Arabidopsis thaliana: one gene and its partner. The protein of the gene in region 1 interacts with the protein of each later gene in a pairwise test. Each region holds a gene or a part of one and is shown on either strand. Other genes may lie near its edges.

Region 1 (7,348 bases):
TTCTGATATTCGTTCTTTTAACCTTCAGATTAATATTCCAGTTGGCTCATTGTTATCCCTTGTTGAGCGAGTGCTGTTGGTGAACGGCTCTCTACCTCGAGCCATGTCACCCTTCATGACAGGGATCCAACAAGAATTGGTTTGTGCAGAACTTCCAGCTTTGCATTCGTCTGCTCTGGAACTCTTGTGCGCTACTTTAAAGAGTATCCGCAGGTAAACCGGTCTCCCTTTATTTAATCTAGATTGTTTTTACCTTCATTGGCGAAAACTATATATTTTACATGTCAAACACATTAAATATTATATTTCAACTGAAACCTGACCTTAATTTCATTGACACTGACAATTGAGGAGTTGTTCCTTTGGTAGTTTATGTCTTGCTGAAAATAGTTTCGCAATTCTCGTTTTTCCAAATAATGGATTGTTACTAGTTACCACACCTTCCCGTGTCTTAGGAACTAAACAACATCCTCATATTGATTCATTTTGTAGCCAACTTTTACCATATGCTGCATCTGTGGTGAGACTTGTTAGTAGCTACTTCAGGAAATGTTCATTGCCAGAATTGAGGATAAAGCTCTACTCAATCACTACAACCTTACTCAAATCCATGGGTATAGGTAATTTCACAAGATCTTGCCTTTGATGTGATGAAAATATAAGATCATTTCTGCTAACATACTTCTCTGACCAGGAATGGCAATGCAACTGGCACAGGAAGTTGTCATTAATGCCTCTGTGGATCTAGACCAGACAAGTTTAGAAGCATTTGATGTGGCATCTAGCAAAAACCCCTCGCTTACTAATGGAGCTCTTCTTCAGGCTTGCAGTAAAAAAAGGAAGCATTCAGGAGTCGAGGCAGAAAATTCTGTTTTTGAATTGAGAATCCCTCACAATCACTTGAGAAGCCCGATTTCATTGAAAATAGCATCTCTTGAGGCACTGGAAACACTTCTCACCATTGTAAGCTCTTTTAACTCTTTACTATCAAAATTCAGCTTTTTGTCGACACTGTTGAAAACTTAGTAGAAAGTTATTAGTTACTTGAATCCTACTTATAATCACCATAGTTCTTCTTTGTGATTATGTTATAACAATATGATAGGTTATCAAATATCTTCTTTTCTTTTGGGTTTCAGGGTGGTGCATTGGGATCGGATAGCTGGAGAGAGTCTGTTGATAATCTTCTTCTGACCACTGCAACAAATGCCTGTGAAGGGAGATGGGCCAATGCTGAAACCTACCATTGTTTACCCAATAAGTCTACGACGGATCTAGTTGAGTTTCAGCTTGCAGCACTCCGTGCCTTTTCGGCATCTCTCGTTTCTCCATCACGAGTACGCCCTGCATTTTTAGCTGAAGGACTTGAGCTTTTCAGAACAGGTAACTAAGATTGTTGGCATGAATTAAAACTAAGCTTTAAACCGCAGAGATCTAGAGTAGTTGATGCTTATATATCGGCTTTGAACAGGTAAACTTCAGGCAGGAATGAAAGTTGCTGGATTCTGTGCTCACGCTCTCATGTCCCTTGAAGTTGTTATACATCCGAGGGCACTTCCACTCGATGGCCTCCCGACACTTAGCAACCGATTTCCAGAGAGCAATTCTTTTGGCAGCGAAAAACACAACACACCTAATCTTAATAAGTTGAATGTTATTGCTCATGATGGTGATGATCTAGGCAATAGATGGCAGGCAAAGGCGGATGTTCCTTCTAACAATGCGATTCAGAGAACCTTAGACACGACTTTACCTCTCCAAGAGAGCAACAGATTGAAAGTTGGGAATGATTTAGCTACTGTCGTGTCTTTGAGTGTCCAAGATCATACAGATATAGTTGCATCAGAGAATGGTCAACAAGCTGATGTGCCTGAGAAGGTTCCTGAGGAATCTCTAGGACCGGTTACAGACAAAGATGTTACGGCTCCCAAAGATGGGTATGAAGAAGTGGTGAGTGGGACTCAAGAGGGAGAGGATTTAGCGGTTAAAGACAGTCTGATGGAGGAAGCATCAATTGGTAAGAAGATAGAGTCCTTAGGGGAATCTGATGATGATCCTATTCCTAGTCTTCAGGAAGGTGATTTTCTCTCCTCTTCTTCTGATTCTGATTCTGATATTGAATCGTAATGCAAGACAAAAGAGTTCACAACCGTCTTAGAAGAATTTTGTTTCTAAGTTAAAGTTTTGATTATACAATTATACCTCTTTTTTACTTGTAAGATGTTTCAAATATGTGAGAGTTTAATTCCTTCCGAGAGTTTTTGTTTCTATTGTACACCAGTTTCAATTACTCACTAACATTGCAGCCAAAGCAGCCACAGAACCGAAATAACGATCGTGGTATATGAAGTTGATTTCTTCCATCTAGATCTTCCTAAGGCTAAGAGATTAACCAACTCCTTACTTTACCTTTGTGCTTAACTCGATTGAGAAACAAGTTTAACAAATATATAACGCTAAAAATGGATACATAAGTATAAATTTTATCAGCTTGAGTTGCTCTAAATCACAAACCCTTATCAGTCCTCACTTGCTAGTTTACTAGTTTTAGCTCAAAACCTGAACTTTATTCGGCAGAGCTACAAGGGAAAATTGCTAAGGATTCACTAAGAAACACATATCTAGAGATACAAGCGATGAACAGAGGGGAAGGAAGAAGCAGAGAATGGGTCATACACAAAGAAAACGTAATACTGAATTGTCACTTTTCATTAAATATCAAAATGGATCAGAGATGGCAGGCCATAACAGAGTCAAAACAACAGTCTACAAAAACTTGGGAAACTGAATATAGAAGAAGAAGAAGAACCAGACCACATGAACACAGACATTCCTTGAAGCTTTCTCCATCCTCCTGCATTATGATTCAATCCAACATAGACAGTTACACACCACATTATCTAACAAAAGATCACAGCTTAAAAAGAATTACGAATAGGTTCATGAAACTTACATATCTTGTTGAAGGCAACAATGTCACAGCTCTGGACATATTCATTGATCGGTTCAACAGTGAGTTGCTCTTCGATCATGGTGTCAATAGAGACAAGGTCGTCAACAATGGTGCACAAAATCTGCAACTTCTTGATACCATAACCAACTGGGACAAGCTTTGATGCTCCCCAAAACAAACCTTCCATCTGAATGGACTTCACAGCTTCCTCAAGCTTCTTCATGTCAGTCTCATCATCCCACGGTTTGATATCAATCAAAACTGAGGACTTTCCAGCTAATGAAGAATAATAAAAACAATGAGAAATCCAAGACATCTTCATATCATTCATATAAATTACAAGGGTAGAACAAAACCCAAACTTACATTCCTTCTTCTTTGTAGATGCCTTGACAGAAGCTGCTCTCTCTTCAGCAGCTTTCTTTTCCTCTTCGGTCTCCTCTCCGAAAAGGTCAACATCATCATCATCTTCTTCATCAGCCGCAGCATCCTACAAAACACACACATTCATATGAAATCTCCCCAATGCACAACTTTACAAAAACATTATGAGAAAACATAGAGACGATCAAGCATACCTTAGAATCAGCTGCAGGGGGAGTAGCAACAGCCTCCTCAGTGATAGGAGCTGATCCCTCAACAATGACACCGCTTCCTTCAGCAGAGACACCACTGTATATAGAAACATGATTATAACGAAACAATATTAGATTAATCCAGATTCCAGACAGCTAAAAACTTTAATCCATTAGTAAATGGAAAACAATAGAAGGTAATCAAGCTTACGAGATCCTCAAGAGGGCATCAATGTGATTGTACCAACGAGAAGCGTTCACATACTGTGAAGTTGGGGGCTTTGCAAGAGCTGCAAAGACGGTGATATCATCCTTTGAAGCCTGGTATCTATAAGCATACACAAAGGAAACTAATTATTACTCTTTTTGTTCAAAAAGGTAGAGATTAAGGATCTAATCTATTAGAGATGTTAACAACTTAATTGAGACAACACTTGAAAAAAAAGACAAATTTAAGAAATTGAAACTTACCCAGTAATGTAACTGCGAGTGAGAAGATGCTCGTCGAGCTTCTTCAATCCAGCATCAGAGTTAAGGTTAGGGAATGCTGCCATAGTTTCCGAAGCTCGAACCTTTTTCACTGATATAAAAAGCAGACAAGATCAGATCAACTACTAAAACCCCAACGATTCAGCAAAAACGAAACTTTATTTTGCTAAAAGACAGATCACAATTAGAAGCAAAGAACAACATCGAAAATTGATTCACTAAGACATCACTTAAGAGTTCCTAATCATGGGGATCAAAATACTCAAACTTCGAATTTCCAATCAAATACTATTATGACCATGGCTACTTTGAGATCGAAACAAACCTAATAGGAGGCGTAAGAACAAAAGATCTTACGGGAGAAATCGAAGAACAAACCTGAGCTAAAAGGCGCAGTCTTTGAAGATGAAGAGTGAAGGAGGAGGCAGAAGAGGATGGCGCAGAGTTCTCATAGGTACTTATTTAAGCTTCTAGGTTTTTCTTTAGTGGGCCTATATGTGGCCCAATTATCTCCTCAGTTAGGCCTTCTCTTTTATCTTGGTGGGCTTTACAAAAAAAAATCAATAAACCGGTTAAGATCTACACGATAGAGCATCAAGAAAACAATTCATAATTCTTCTGTCTATGAATGAAAGATAGTCATGTTTAAGTGAACCATGAGAAGTGTATATGGACCCAAATTTCCAGAGTGTCAGTTAGGAATAAATTAGCATTGTACTCAGAAATCAAAACTGTTAAAAAAAGTGGTAACAAGAAAAAATCTATAGAATTATTAATAAGGTAGTTTAGAATGATTTATGGAAAGATTAGATGTGTATGTATCTTACAAAATTCATCAATTTTCCTCTCTGATTAGTTGTCACTTTTTTCAGTTTTTCTCTTTTAAATTGTCATTTACTAACAAAATAATAAATTGAATTCATTTTGAAAATGATAGGTCACCCAATTTGTTTAATGTATAAGAAACTATCTAATATGTGGATATTAGTTATATTATCACCAAAAATGGCAAGCTACCCAAGCAAAATCGCAATATCGCTACAATGGCTGCATGTCTTGTTGGTTCGGTTCAAGATAATAAAGTTCTCTACATATTCTATTGATTCTTGTATCTAAAAGTTTATAGGCACAAACGATGCATCCGATGTAAACATGTTTTCTCGAATAAATTTTAAATTTTATTCAAAAAAAAAAAAAAAATCGCAATATCAAGTTCTTACTATTTTCTAAAGATGGAGTTGAGACCATTTGTTGGATCTCACATGCATAACGCCAAGAAAATCTAGTATACATACCAAGTTTTCATGTTTACAAACAGACACCACTTTAATATATATTTTACTAGTTATCTTTTTCAAAGTATTATTAGTTATTTATCACATAAAATAAATATAACATTCACGTACAAAAAAACTAAAATTTACAAAACCTTTACCCAAGAAAAAAAAACACTTTACAAAATCTATACACTTATGATATACATATGTTTTTATATAGTTTCTTAACACCTATTCTGATACGTCTAAGAAGTTGCATGTATGTTTTAGTCGTTGTAAAAAAGATTTGTTCAACTTTTCTATATTCTTATCACTTCTTTTTGTAAAAACAAAAAGCTATAAATTTTGTGGGGAAAAAAGTAACAAGATATAGTTTGGCCAAAGATGTACTTTGGTTTCTTTTAAAATTCCTCCTTGTTGAGAAAAAGGATTTCAGATTCCAATTGAGTTCCAACATTCTGGTTCAAATGCTTCTTTTCATAATCATTTTAAAGGAAGACTTTTTTTTTCCGGAACATACAGGTTTAATTCAATTTCAGAACTATATTATATCCTCAAACTTCTGTCTATATAACACTTTTAATGTAAACTTTCCTAAAACAATTATATCCATGTTATTTTATCGAAGCACAAAAGACATAGAGAATTCTTTTGGCCCTTTTTAAAAATTTGATGAGTGATCAACTTCATCGGCTGATCATTCCAAATATCCTGACTGATTTTTATTTTTCTTAAGGTAAATATAATCGACATTATTAGATTGATCGAATCGAACTCTAGTATTCTACTGTAATCTCTTAGTCTCACCTCATACAATCGTTGTGTGCGCCATGCCAAGATCACTAAATATCTATCTTGTACATGTGTAGAAATCCTCCACGACGGTCCACATATGATCCAATTGGGACATTAACAAGTATCACGTATTCTAATATATTAAAAGTTGTAAAAGTGTCATGTTCGCTAAGTATGCTCGCCAGTAACATCAACTTTGAGTTCCAAAACATATTACTTTTTGTTTCAATCATTTGTGATTTAGGTAGAATATTGGATCAACAAAAAAAAAACGATAGCATAGCATTAGCTTGCATGTGCTACATCAGGACAAATGCAGGGATAACAAACCAACAAATGTAATAATTAATGGTATATGTATACATATATATATATATATATATAACTTTAAACTTTTTGTTAGAAGAACCCACCATATATATAATTTAATATAGTAATATAATACATTTAATCAGATTAATTTCATAATTATTTGTTCTTTAAATCTCATGGTACATGATAACTAATGAATATTTAGTCGAATTTCAAATATGACAAAATTTTATCTATTGTATTATGGATAGAATGGTAGCTACGATATCACCTTCTAACAGTTTTCATCTGTGAAGTCTTCCTGTCACATACTCTTTTAAAGAAATATTCATTATTCCATATTTTTAAATTCTCAAAGCATGCATGATTGAATTTATATAATTTCTTTTGGTTATAAATATCTACAACTAAAAAAAAAAAACTGATTAATTATTATGAAAAAAAGTTTTCTTTAAAACGGAAAAAGAAAGAATGCATAAGTCCAAATTCACGAGTTGTAAATACTATCCAGACTCCAGTGTTTGACTAATCATATATACAACTTCAATTCAATCCCAGCATATATTTTTTTTTCTTATATAAAAATGATCAAATGATAATGGTCTTTCACCAAAGTTTTGGTAGTGGATCGTACAATTAATTAGGTATATAGCTAAACTATCATCGTGTTATACCATAAGCAGAAACCCAATTTGTAATTAAGAACTTAATTTAGAAAATTCTTAAACCAATAAGAAAACATTTTATTAATTTAATAATAGTTTCATCCGAATTATCGATTAAAAGTAGATCTAAATCTTTACATTTTCATCAAAATTGCTATTGATTCTTTTCAAGTAACAGTCCAACTAACATTAAGTAACGAAATAATGTTTTCATAAAAAATAGCTATATAAGGACAAACTACTATAATTTCATTTGAATAACCCTATAACGTTTGGTTCTCT
Region 2 (6,992 bases), on another chromosome or scaffold:
CGGTGCCGCCGTCCGCGATCTTGGCCAAGACCGCGTTAAGGTGATCCGTAGACGGTGACATGAGGAATGAGAGGATTTCTTCTTTGGTGACGGGATTAGAACCAGCGGCGATGAGGCTGAGCAAAACGTTGATTGACATCGGTGAAAAGACAACATTGGAGCCATTGGCGACATCTGTTTCAATGACTTTCTTTGCTAGTCTTGCCACGACGTTGTTTTGGTTCTCAATTGATTTTCCTAACTCCATTTTTTTCCAAGAAGAGGTGTACGGGAAGATATAAGAATGGTTCTGAATATGCAGATGTGATGATTGATGAAATAGCTTGTTTCAAGTATACTAGTAGCTATTTTTTGTTTTAAATATATTTTCTGCACATGAATTATTCAATCGAAATGATTTAGAAGTAATAAAGTACCGCGTGTGGAAAAGTCGTATCATGGACTTCGTTGGAAGTACTTGGCATTAACTATAAACTAGGTCTTGAAGTTTGGTTAATTTATGCCTTATGGGTCAATTTACTTGGAACAACTCTCTTTTTCATCCTTTTACCCATAAGGCATATGCATAAACCAATTGTTCCAAATCGATTTTATAACTCTGGGAGTTGCCATTTGGAACAACTCTCTTTTTCATCATTTTATATCTCAATCTAGGAATCTATCATAGCTTGGCTATTCTCTAAAGTAAATTTCCTTTTTCTTTACTTTCTAGCACTTAAATAAAACTCCAATGAGCTATCTTTTTCAGTTTAAAATATATTTCTATGTTAATTAGCTCATTTGAACATAAATCTTTCTTGCTTTGGTGTCTCCTACATGTATATTTTGGAACCGTCTGTCAATTGGATTGGTGGATTCCGACTCTTATATCAAAGAGAAACAAAATAAAAAAACAGAGTAATAATCTTATTAGAGGGGGAAAACAATGTTTTTAAAACCAAATCATTGCTAGAGAACGTGATTTCCTAGCGAAAGTTTACACTTTACACCACAATATATACTAACGTGCATGTGAAAAGAAAAGAAAAGAAAGAGAAAAAGGTTGAGATGAATGTCTGAAGCAGCCAAATCTTATACTCCCTCTGTTCTATAAAGTTTGATGTTTTGAGTTTTATTTTTGTTTCATCAAGTTTGATGTTGTAGGTTAATATTATTATTATTTTTATTAGTAACCAATAGAGAGAAAAGAGAAGTAAAATTTATATTATTAGATTAATAGAAAAGTAATAAAAATAATATTAAAGTTACATTTTTTAATTTGTGTGAAAAACCCAAAACATTATTTTTTTAGGAACAGAGGGAGTAAACATGAACTGGAAAATAACAAGACATATACTTGATGTGTACATGTATCGATTTCTTCTTCTTCTTTTTTATCTTTTTTTTTTTTAGTTAAATGTATCGATTTCTTAGTCACCAAGAGGCAAGAATATAACAAAAGACTAGAAATTCTTTTGTTTGATTTTATTTATCATTGGGTACAAATTCTAAAAACATGAGATTATGGATACTCCATAAGTAATGTGTTCAATTCAAATAATCATTTTATTTATTTACAGTAACGGATGTATATCATGTATTATGCATAGACACCAGTAGGTTGAGACTAATAGTGACCGATAGTTTTATATATTTTCTTGCTTTCATATATTGTCATTTTCCTTCTTCTTTACATTACAATCACAACAATAATGCCAAAAGACACATGAACCAAAATGTCTTCGGTTTCCATGTTGTAAACATAATAAAGCATAATTAAAGACAACATCTAAACATATGTTTAGCTTATAGAAATCTGATCCCCGAGAGTTCTTTACGCTGAAGCGTCTATGTTACGGTCCCCAATCACCTTCAAGAATTTTTTCATATACGCTTTCCTATAAAATAGCCGTTTGAATATACATAAACACTTTTGTCGCCTCTTTGCTTAGATATATAACTACAGATCTAGTAAGCTTTGTCGTGACAATATGGGAGAACAAGACATCATTGTACCTTGCAGGAAGATGGTCATGTGGGCGATTATAAGCAGTCCACACTGGTCCACCCACGAAAAGACGCATTGCCTGTTCAATATATAAGAAAATTCCAATTTTCTAAGCAACCAAAAATATATTACTTGAACCTTCATATAGTATGAATTAATAACTAGAAGAAGCTAAGATTGAACCTTCATATAGTTGTCCGAGTCCACGGTGAAGCGATGATATATTCCAGCAGGGAAGACTATCAAACCTCCCTTCTTTACCCATACTCTAATCCAAATATCATTGAGATCCCTCACATCAAAGTATCCTTTGATTTGTTTTTAAGAAAAAATAAAATAAATGAGCACCATATCGAATTTATTTAAGTACTAAAGCAGCGAATAAAAGTACCTACCACTTCCTGCGAGGCAGTAACGGATCTCTTCATCAATATGTAAATGTTCTTCAAAAAACATCTTTACTTTTTCTTCATAGTTTGGAAGCTTCTCTGGACACACCTCACATAAGTCCTAAAACCAAACATCCAAATGTTTGCGAATCAAAAACGAATATTTAATAATCAACTAACAAACGAAGATTTATTTTTTGTTAAAAAAAAAGACCAAACAAAGGAAGATATTAAAAAAAGGCATCAAATAAATGTCACAAACCATGTAGGAGTAACCACGAGATTCGCGGATCCTTTTCAATTCCTCATCGGTTTCATAGTTATCAGCATCAAGTCTCCAGCAAAGTACTCCAAGCTCTGAACAAAAAAAAAAAAAAACATTATTAACCTACGTGAAAGAATAAAAGTATGTGCAACAATGAAGATACACACAGACCTGCAAGTTTGTCCAAAGATACAAATTCCTTAGGATCCTTGTGGTGAGGAAGTTTCTGATCCTCTTCCTTATTATCCAAGTACCAAGCTTGAATCACTTCTTCAGTTTGATCCTAGAAAACATCAATCTGATGCTAAGCAAAAACACTTCTAAAGTAAATGGGAATAGATCCTAAATCAAGAAGGAAGAGTTTATATTACCTTAGCGGCTTCACCCATGGTTATTCTTCTTTTGTGTTCAAAATGAAGAAAGAAAGAAACCATTTATATAGATAAAAAAGGAAACCGCTAGCATTTTTCTGTGTGCAAAAATGTAAAGTAAGAACACAAAACCACTCTTTCCATTTCTTAGGCACCTTTATCGAGAAGACAAGGACGTCACGAAGTGTCAAGGAGATGACGAAGAAGTGATGACGTCACGAAGTCTCACGACTTCTATTTACTCTATTTGCATTTGTTAAATAATAAGATGCTTTGTTCTTATCAATTATTGTTCTTAATAATAAGACTTCTATCCACTTTCTCAGGTCTTTGGTATTTGTTTCGATGTACTTAACTTTCTACGTGTAAGGAAGCTTCATGTTAGAAAAAAATAAAAATGGAAGCGTCATGTATTTGTTATTTGTTTCAGTGTACTTCAGAATTAGCTTTTTTTTCATAAATATTATCAAAATCTAAGACTATATAGGCTTCCAAAAAAATTACTTTGGAAGCTCATTGGAATCTTATGAATTTTTTTAATGGAAAATTGTGTTTCTATTTTAAAATTTTGATGTAAAAATAAATAAATAAACATGAAATTATTTCCGATAATCTTTTCTACACAAAAGAAAACCAAACTAGTTTTGTGATTTATATAATTTTTCATAGTAATATTTAAATTTTATTTTCAGTAAGACCATGCTAAGAAAAATATTAACGGCATGAATCATATATGTGTGATATTCGAAGTTATTAATTGAATTAAAATTAACTTTGAGAAACTTGAGTTTGATGATGTTATTACGGACAAATTACAGAGAAAGAGGAAGAATGATCCACTACATGAAGTTTACTAATTCATAGCAACCTGTCTGATTGATTGATATGTCTCGGCCAGAACGTAATCCAGCAATAGACTCAATTGTACATATTCATTGAGAGCTCCACAATCCAAATTTTTACAATCCCGATACAATGTCTTGTTTTTTTTTTTTGGTTTTAACAAACTCTTAAATTGATAACAAACTTTGTCACAAACCAGCTCCAGTTCACGTAGACTCTCGTTTACTTTTTGTAACCATTGCATATGTCATTTTGAATCGATTTCAACGACTATTTTCAAACATTAACGCGAAATAAATGGTTTAAATTTTTAAAAAATGTAAACAAATAATCCACCAGATAAACACCAAACCGAAACAGACATACATCATTTGTACTCACCCAAAGAAAACAATCAAAATAAGGTCTTCAAAATACACTCTTTGTTTTTTTGTTTTTTCTTTCTCTTTTCTATTTGCGTTGATAGAAAACAAATCTCACATTTGAGATGCTAAATCTATCAAACCGCCACCAAAGCAATATCTTGGTCTAGATAAGGCTATTACTTTAGGTTAACTGCTACCACCATTTCTTCTCTTCTTCTCTCCATTTGCAACACCAGTTGTTGCTTTATCCGAATCCGACAATTTCTTTGTTTTCCCAAGAGAAGTAGAAGATGAAAGCCTCTTCTTTGGCAATACCATCTGTGGAGGTTTCTTCTTATCAGCAACAACCTCCTTCTTTGGCATACTTGTTGTTCCGACATTAACCTTAGATTTCACAGCTTCCGTGTTGGCCAAGTTTCCTGTTGTTCCCACACTAGACTTGGATTTCAAAGTTTTCGTGTTATCCAAGTTTCTTTTTGCTCCCACATTAGCCTTGGGTTTCACAGTTTGTGCATTACTCACGTTGCTTGTTGTTTCCACACTAACCTTGGATTTCACAGTTTGTGTATTATCCAACGAATTTCTGCGCGAGGATGAGCTACCAACGCTTTCATCATCTTTAGCGTTTTCAGATGATCCACCACCGATACTGTGCCTGCGATTAGTAACCTCGATCTTTCTACTCTTTGTATCATTGTTTACAGGCCATTGAATAGAACTTTGGCTAGCTGACTTTTGTGTTTTAGATCTGGCAGGAGAACTCTTGATCGAGTTTTCGCGTTTAAGAGAACTTTTAACGGAAACTTGATCGTCAATGGATTCAGCATCCCACGGACGAGAAGCCATCCACCTCTCAAGCCAACTCCAACCCCAATCTGTTGTGTTTGTGTCCATCAAAGTCTGATGTGGAAGTTTTGAAGAGTTTCTCCATGTTTGCTGTTTTATTTTCCAACATCAATATATAAACAACTATGACTAAGTTCACAATGATGTTGTCTTTAATTTATATTTACCTGATGACTGTAAGCATACGCCAATGCCCTTTCTCGTCTTACTGAAGCTTCTTTTCGATTCACCGACCTTGCCACGATCTGTTCCTTTGATTTATTGCTGGAATCAAAATTTCCCGCGGTAACCTACAACAAAATATGCTCCAGTTCAGAATTTTGGTTCACCCAGTGTGGTAAAATGTAGGGAGATTTTACCACATAACAATGGGATGACTCTTTTTAAATTTTGTCATATTTTTAGATGAACGGTTGCATATATTGTAAACATGGTTGAATAAATTTTACATTCATTCAACAAAAAATGTAACGAGATTTACCAAATTCTGATGGTTTTCTTTCTGGTGACCCTTCTGTTGGATCAGCCTGTGACGAGTTTTGTTCTCTGCAGATAACCGATTCCTCCTCTCTTGAATCTGTGTTTGTAAACGTGTAAGAGTTTGCATTGAGCTAAGCATCGCATTCATTTGTCTTTTGACGTATTTTCCTTGCAGCAAACTTTTGAGTCTAGCCATTCCTCGCAGCGCACGAAGAGTGCGTCTCGCCTATGAAATTTCAAAATATTAGACTAAGTCTTTCATAATAAGAGGAATTAGTGATTTTTTTTGTATTTTGTCCAAAAAAAAAAAAGTGATTTTTTTGTATACCGTGTAACATCTATACGCATTTTGGATCTTGATTGCGGCAGTTTCCTCCTTTGATTCCTCAATTTGAGGTGTTGATGGGGTCGTGAGACGTATAACCTCCGCGGCAGCATGTGCAGCTACCACAGCTGCTTCGGCTGCAACAGCCGATGCAAGAGCTAAAGCTTGTCTATTCTTTGATTCTTTAGACTCACCATAGATTCTTGTATTGATGGTATATGCCGGAGGAGGAGGAGGTGGAGACGGTGGTGGTAACAACGGCTGAGGAGCAAAATCCGGCAACGGGGGAGGCGGTGGATATGGACGATGAACAGAAGAAGGTGAAGGGTCAACCGGTGGAGTCTCCTCCAGAGGGAAATCAAAAGATTCTCTACTCTTTTGTTTCCCAAACGACCATTTCCTCTTCGGTTTCTCGGGTTTCTTGATAAACAAGGCAAAACCAAAAGACCAAAATCAAAACAATTAGCAATCTTGATTTCATAATCAGGTTACATAATCATAATCAATAATTAGAGAACAGATTCGAAACACCAACTTGATTCTTTTTGTCTTTCCCTGGAGATAAACAAGCCACGGAGACACATGTTAACCAGTTCTTACCCATTTTCTCCTGAAATTTTCAGACAAATCTTTCATTGAAACATTTTCTTACAAAACACTTTATGTGAAATCAATAAGAAGAGATGAGATTATGTGAAGAGACCTCGTCGTGATGGGCCCCACCGATTCGTGGGAACCCAATTGACTTTTGTAACGATTGTGTTTTGTAAGAACGATTCAACAGATTTAACGACAGATACGTTATAAATTATAACTTCTTTTTAGTTGTTTTTTTTTATTTTCATTCTCTGCTTAGTTGTTCTTTCTATATGTTATTTTTATCTTTTTTTTTTTTTTTAATATTTCTGGTGTTGTGGTTTTTAGAATTACAGCTTTTTTTATAACAATTATCTGTTAGACAAATTTAGAAAATTGAGTTTAAAGTTTTGATGATGCTAATGCTCTTTATCCATTCCACTCTGGGTTTGATTCTCACTCTCACCCTCCATTATTTTGTTTGGTTGAGAGTTTTCTTAATCAACAAGAAATAAGTTATAAAACCAAATCCCAAAACCAAAATG

The links. The genes of interacting proteins can lie anywhere in the genome.
Region 2: the proteins of eEF-1Bb1 (region 1) and ARD3 interact in a two-hybrid assay, tested with the Arabidopsis thaliana proteins (one large-scale study listed by BioGRID).

The regions. Positions count from the first base shown.
Region 1 is NC_003070.9:10,636,020-10,643,367, reverse strand, and holds eEF-1Bb1 (translation elongation factor EF1B/ribosomal protein S6 family protein), read right to left. Parts: upstream 4,455-7,348; 5' UTR 4,396-4,454; intron 4,109-4,395; 5' UTR 4,083-4,108; coding exon 4,000-4,082; intron 3,857-3,999; coding exon 3,740-3,856; intron 3,626-3,739; coding exon 3,532-3,625; intron 3,444-3,531; coding exon 3,320-3,443; intron 3,230-3,319; coding exon 2,950-3,229; intron 2,855-2,949; coding exon of another isoform or gene 2,853-2,854; exon of another isoform or gene 2,852-2,852; coding exon 2,767-2,851; 3' UTR 2,586-2,766; downstream 1-2,585. Other genes in the region: AT1G30240 (proline-, glutamic acid/leucine-rich protein), read left to right, coding at 29-213, 493-620, 695-963, 1,140-1,383, 1,472-2,127. UniProt on the Arabidopsis thaliana protein: EF-1-beta and EF-1-delta stimulate the exchange of GDP bound to EF-1-alpha to GTP.
Region 2 is NC_003071.7:11,230,245-11,237,236, forward strand, and holds ARD3 (acireductone dioxygenase 3), read right to left. Parts: upstream 3,118-6,992; 5' UTR 3,076-3,117; coding exon 3,013-3,075; intron 2,925-3,012; coding exon 2,813-2,924; intron 2,734-2,812; coding exon 2,639-2,733; intron 2,498-2,638; coding exon 2,383-2,497; intron 2,296-2,382; coding exon 2,171-2,295; intron 2,067-2,170; coding exon 1,878-2,066; coding exon of another isoform or gene 1,814-1,877; 3' UTR 1,526-1,813; downstream 1-1,525. Other genes in the region: AT2G26390 (Serine protease inhibitor (SERPIN) family protein), read right to left, coding at 1-247; Iqd4 (IQ-domain 4), read right to left, coding at 4,407-5,156, 5,234-5,356, 5,548-5,772, 5,875-6,291, 6,407-6,475. UniProt on the Arabidopsis thaliana protein: Catalyzes 2 different reactions between oxygen and the acireductone 1,2-dihydroxy-3-keto-5-methylthiopentene (DHK-MTPene) depending upon the metal bound in the active site.